2 separate regions of the Mus musculus genome follow, and region 1 is reported to be linked to region 2. Evidence: microRNA targets listed by miRTarBase, many of them from high-throughput screens and not tested one by one. Region 2 holds a microRNA gene; the other region holds the end of a gene's coding sequence.
The links. The annotated mature microRNA mmu-miR-340-3p reads UCCGUCUCAGUUACUUUAUAGC and lies in region 2 at 2,194-2,215, shown strand. An mRNA with a match to its seed (bases 2 to 7 or 8) in the 3' UTR can be bound and repressed. Matches are read on the target gene's strand: a 7mer-m8 pairs with bases 2 to 8, a 7mer-A1 pairs with bases 2 to 7 and ends in A, and an 8mer does both.

Region 1 (3,111 bases), not on the chromosome of region 2:
GTGCAAAGTTTGGCATTTCAAATCATGCCTCATTAATTCAGAAGACATTACTACCTACCATGCAATGAACAGTGTGTGCAAAGATAAAATTTTAAGATATGGAGTTCGTTCAGTAGTAAGAAAAAAAATTACAACACATTGTACTGTGGTGACATGTGAAAGGAAGCGAGAAAATAAAGGAACATCTAATTTCTACTGGAAAGGGCTGAAAAAAGCCTTTAGACACAGTATTCCTAAAGGTACGTCATACAAGTAAAGTAATTTATCTGGCCACAAAGACCAGTCCAGCAATAATGACGTCTACAACGGTACTATGGTTGTAAAACATAAGTGCATTTGGGAAAGGGAGTGGAAGCACTTGATTAACTGATTATGATCCACTAAAGAAATCTGTGCTTCTAAAATTCACATTAAAGATTTAGAAAGCTACAATATTTTCCTAATAAAACTTGCTAAAATGCTAGGTTACATAAAAATCTTGGCTGTATAAAGACAGGCCAAGAGTTGTGGCAGGGATTGTGGAATCTCCCTTGGCTTCCACTGCTTATTCAGAATTCTGTTTATCAAAAAGGAACCTCGCATTTTAATGTCTGAAAACCGTTGGTCTAGAACACAAATCAGAGTGTGTGCAGAAATAAGGATGGAAAGTAGGCCTTCTATTTGCTTATTTGGAAAACATACAAAATTGGAGGGAAATGAGGCAGAAAAGATTTCCATAAGAGATAAAAATTTGTTATTTGCTCATATTGAACTTAAAATGACCATGCAGTCAGTATTTGTCAAAGTGAAGACATTTAGCAGTCAATTAAAAATGAAATTCAGAGAGCAAGGAGAGTGGGGTTCCAGTTCCTGGCATGGAAACCAGCCTAACATTATAGGTGGCATAAGCCATGATGGCAGTGAGAAATACTGCTTGCCATGAGTATTTAGAGTAAAGAGAAAAAGAGAAGGAAGAGAATGAAACTTTCATGAGGACAGGCAGAAAATGAGAAACTACAGGAGAAAGAAGAAATAACAAAGATCAGTCTTCAACAGAAATTAGGCAAATTCTTCTCCTTTAAAACAGAAAAATGCATAAATAGAGTTGACTCCCTCATAATCTAAACTTCCTGTGGAAGAGCAAGGGTAGAGGTGACTAATGAACTTTGACTCTACCATGGTGGGAAAAGGGGAGGCACCTTAGTAGCTTTGCAGTTAGGATTGTTAAGTGAAGTCAATGTGTAGCAATACACTTTGAAGGATTGCATGCCTTCCATAAAACTTAGTCTCCTAAGAATGACTGGCTGACAAGATTAATGCAGTGCTGAGAGCCTGCCAAGGATGATGCTGCCAAGGAGATAAAATAGGAGAGGAAACAAGGGAGGCCAGTATTCATGTGATGATGCCCCATGAAGTAGGGGGCAAAAAAAAACATGAAAGAGGTCGCTGTTCAGGAGTTAGAGCAGTCTAGAGAAGCCCGTGAAAAGGTTGAAAGCTGTAGAATGAAAACAGAAAAACCAATGAAAACAAAGAAATTTTAAAAGCTGAAAAGAAGAGAACTGTCATCAGTTACTAAAATGTAAGACTTCAGAAAGAGAAACTGAGTGTGGCTCATGCTTAGATTCAGTTACAGAAATGACAGGAATGTGAAGATGTCACTGGGACAGAAGTCTAGTGCATCGGAAGACTTGAGGTAGGCAGAGAAAGGTGAGCAAGACAGCAAACTAGGCTCTTTGGCCTTCAGCATTTCAGTCTTACTGAAAGGCAAAATATGTGTAAAGTTCATTATATGCAAAGATGTGCCCTACAAGCATCTGAACTAATGGTGGTCTCATCTATACTGAATTTACCTTCTTTTTGGAGTAACCATGCAGTTTTTGTTTTAAATAAAATAAAATAATTTATAAAATGGATAAGTAAATTAAGTATTATTAGTAATGCATGGCAAAATAAATAAGTTTCATCTTTTAAATCCTTTGTTGTTTAATTACTGGAAATGAAATCTAAATATTAGTCACAATATTCTAATTGCCTACATTTATAGCTATACTTTATATTTGAAACAAGGAGAAAACCTGATTTCCATCTTTGAAGTATGCATACTTCAAAATAAGGAGATTCTGTGTTACATATATTTTAGTACAATAAAAAATATAACCTAAAATATTAGAAAACAACTGTCCATCTACATTGGGTTCCTCCTTACCAGTGGCAGGTTTATATGTAGTTCAAGTTCAGTTAGAATGGCATATATGCCATTCTAGAAATTAGAGAATATTCTTCACAGACCTAAGACCACTCAGGGAAAGGTGACAGCATTAGAGAAGCGTAGTGCACTGGGCACCTTTATGTAGTGTAACCGTCTCAAGATCAGTGTAGTACATCTCCTTTGTCAAAGCCTTCTTCCCCACTTCAGCATCTTTATGTATTTGAGTTGAGACCTAGATGAACACCTAGCTACAGCGCTGCTGAAAGAAACTTAAGATTTGCTTTGCGTTTGCGGTGTTCCACTCTTGCTCCTTCAGAGGTCCTTCACACACCGACACATACTTCTTCAAAATTTTTTCTCCTACTTCTCGGAAATCCAAGGTTTCTTTGTGTGTGGTGCAGCTTGCTCCAAAAACATCAGTATCAACTTCATGGTTTTCTGACTGCTGATCTGTGCAGTGCTTTAACCCCCAGTAGCACATCTCTCCACTGTACATCATAGCCAGCACATGGATGTCACTAAAGACTCCTGGGAAGGACATTTAGAATTCAGTTCTTACAACACTAATAAAAGCTCTGACAATAAACCTTTGTCATACCACTTACTAGCTTGGAGAAGGCCACTCTCACTAGCACAGGCCTAACTTAGTCAGCACTTCTCTTTTTCCTAGAAGCGTTCAACCCCCAGACAAAGCACACTACTGTCAAACAATTTTAAAACCATTTAAGTGTGCGTACTTAACATTTTAGGAGCCTCTTTTAGGGCCTTTTTTGAGAATTAATTTCACTGGTAGAGCCCTTCTAAAATAATACGTTAAATTCTGTATACTATACAATTCTAAATTATCACAGATGATGATACTCCAAAATGCTTTGTATTACTAGGAAAAAAAAAAAAAAAAAAAAAACCACCCAGGACAATTT
Region 2 (3,000 bases):
GCATTGGCTACTCTTCCTGAAGACCAGAGTTCAATTCCCAGCACCCACATGGTAGCTCCCAACTGTCTATAACTCCAGTTCCAGGCACTCTCACACACGAACGTCTGTATATGCAGGCATAATACCAATACACATAGAATAAAAATAAGTAAATTATGAAGAAAAAAAGAAAAGAAAATTCTCAGAATAAAAAGGGAAGAATTACAGGGAAGAATTGCAAATTTAAGTAGCCATGCTAAGTTACTAAAACAACATAAATTCCTATTAAAGAATAAATTGGCAGGCTAGCAAGATGGTCCAGTAGTTGTGAGTGCTTACTGTTCTCTCAAAGAGTTCGGTTCTCAGAACTCATATGGGACAGTTCACAGTCACCTGTAACACCAGTTCCAGGGAGTCAGTGACAGGTAGATACACACGCATATACATATAAACATGAGGTTAAGTAATAACTTTTTGTTGTTGTTGTTTTTCAAGACACGGTTTCTCTGTGTGGCCCTGACTGTCCTGGAACTCGCTCTATAGACCAGGCTAGCCTCCAACTCACAGAGATCTACCTGCCTCTGCCTCCAGAGTGCTGGGATTATAATAATACTCATAATATTCTTTATTTCACTGCCATCTCTAAGAATTAATACTAGCTATGGTGGTGTGAGTGAGAAAATCTTCCATAGGTGCCCGTATTTGAACACTTGGTCTCAGGTGCATGGTATCATTTGGGGATGTGTTGGAGGTGTGGCCTTGTTGGAAGAGGAGTGTATTAGTAGAGTCCAGCTTTGAAAGTTTAAAGATTCCCAAAATTTACTGCTGTTCTCTCAGCTTAGTGCTTATGGTTCAAGATGTGAGACTGGAGAGATGACTCAGAGGTTTCCAGGGCATTCTTCTGCTCATGGAGAGAACCTGAGTTCAATTCCCAGCACCCACAACAGGTCTCTCACAACTGCCCGTATCCCCCCTTCCAGGGGGTCTGTGACTCCTGGTCTCCACAGGCAACTATAACTTGCATGCACAAAGCTACACACATAAACACATAATTGAAATTAACAGTGTTTTTAAAAAGGTGTGAGTTCTTGGCATCCAGTTCCTACCTACAGTTTGCTGCCATTCTTCCCCACCATGATGGAACTATAAGCCAAACAAGCCCCTCCTTGTATACGTTATGTTGGCTATGATGTTTAACCACAGCAGTAGAAAAGGAACACATAGCTGCATGATTGTTGAACTCCAAAGCCATGTCTTGGTGTTTCAGAACACAGGCATAGGGGTGATCTGGTCACATTCTTTGTATCTGTTTAATGTTTCCATTACTTCAGTCTAATTAACCCCTCTCTCCTACCAGCTACTGCTACTCTAATCCTAGTTTTATCCTGAGGGTTAAGTTTCCTCTGTTGTCATCATCCCTCCTGAATCTGCACCAACTCTCCCAAGAGTTTTTTGTTTTGTTTTTAAGGTTTATTTACTTTTTTATTGTGTGTGTGTGTGTGTGTGTGTGTGTGTGTATACCTGCATGAGTCTATGTGCACCATGTGTACAGAGCCCTCGAAGGCCAGAAGAGAGTGTCTGTTCCCTCTAGAATTGGAGTTACAGTAGTTATGAGCTGCCATATTGATGCTGGGAACCAAACCTCGTCCTCTGCAAGATCAACCAGTGCTCTTAGCCATCTCTTTAGTCCCATCCCCATTTGTAAATGTCTGAGCCATCTTGTTAGGCTCTTTGAACCCAGCCCAGCTCTAGATGTTGGGGAGAAAGAAACTTTTTTCCTAGGAGGGTTTGTAGTTTGCTTCATCACCTTCTGTAAGAGATCACTGCCTTCACTAATATCAGATGTGCTGCTGTACTTTTTTATTTGATCATTTTCAGTCTCCTTTGGCAACATTGCCCAGTCTCCTCTTTTTGCTAGGATGATAAAGCTACAGTGAGATCTATTCACTCTTGTCCTCCTAACAGTGAATATTGACAAGTGTTGAACTAATTAAATTTTTCTTTCCCAAACAGCTTCCTGTTGAGATTAGTTGACGCGCCCATTTAGTGTTCGGTTAAGGAAATTACTGGATTGGTTGCCTTGGCTACCTGTGCAGCTCTCCCCACTTCCAGCTTGAGTCTTCAAGAGGGAGCCTCAGAACTGATTTCTAAAACCAATTGTACTTGGTGTGATTATAAAGCAATGAGACTGATTGTCATATGTCGTTTGTGGGATCCGTCTCAGTTACTTTATAGCCATACCTGGTATCTTAACACCACAGATCATGCCTGTTGATCAACATTGTAAAAGCACAAACTTAAGGTTTCTAAATGGAAATTTAAACTGGTTTAGCATTCTTTTATGATTCTTTTTAACTCACTCACCAGAGGCAGATGTTAACTTAATAATGCTAGTTTTAATTTTGTTGTCTCCTTTTTGTTTATAGATTTTTTAAGCAAAAATAAACTGGTAAACTACTACTCTAATAAAGTGAATAAACCGTTTTGAATACAGTATTATGCAAATATATATTCCATTGAGCTATATTTTTTTCAAAACTTCTGTTACTGAGTTTCTGTTGTGTCTCATCTTGACTGCTAAAGGTAACAAGAAATCAAAACAAGTGTTTCTAATATTTGTTGACAGAGCCTTCAAAAGGTCAGGTCTGGGGTCTCTGCTTGCTGTTTTGAGAGGGTATTTTGTGTTTGGATGCACAATCCTCCTTCATACTCACAAAAGTGACCTTGGTGAGTAGCTGCTCACTCTGACTTAAAACAGGCCCTTGAAGCCATGTGAGAAAAGGACTTGAAAACACAACTGAACCATCCTTGTAATTAACTTATAAAAGTTGTGCCTGTGGGCAGAACTCTGAACAGCTTTTAGGAACTGAAGGTTTTAGGTATCATTATGGGTAGTAGTCCAGAAAGTTGAAACTTGGGCCTGCCTAGAGGATTTGAGTGCGCTGGGCATGGTTAAACAAGGTGGAAAACTAACATAAAACTCAAGTCTGAGGCTAGCCGAGGCAATGTGAGATGCTGGCT

Region 1: the mRNA of AW549877 is a reported target of mmu-miR-340-3p. Seed matches in the 3' UTR shown: 7mer-m8 at 2,339-2,345.

The regions. Positions count from the first base shown.
Region 1 is chr15:3,983,764-3,986,874 of GRCm38, forward strand. AW549877 (expressed sequence AW549877) reads right to left here. Exons shown (of 6, transcript NM_145930.3): 6 at 1-2,716. The coding sequence ends at 2,433. Among named protein-coding and RNA genes, the nearest start is that of Fbxo4, 5.7 kb to the left of the region's middle.
Region 2 is chr11:50,067,569-50,070,568 of GRCm38, forward strand. It overlaps Mir340 (microRNA 340), which reads left to right and starts at 2,134; the gene lies at 2,134-2,231. The region is part of intron 2 of Rnf130 (ring finger protein 130); the gene reads left to right.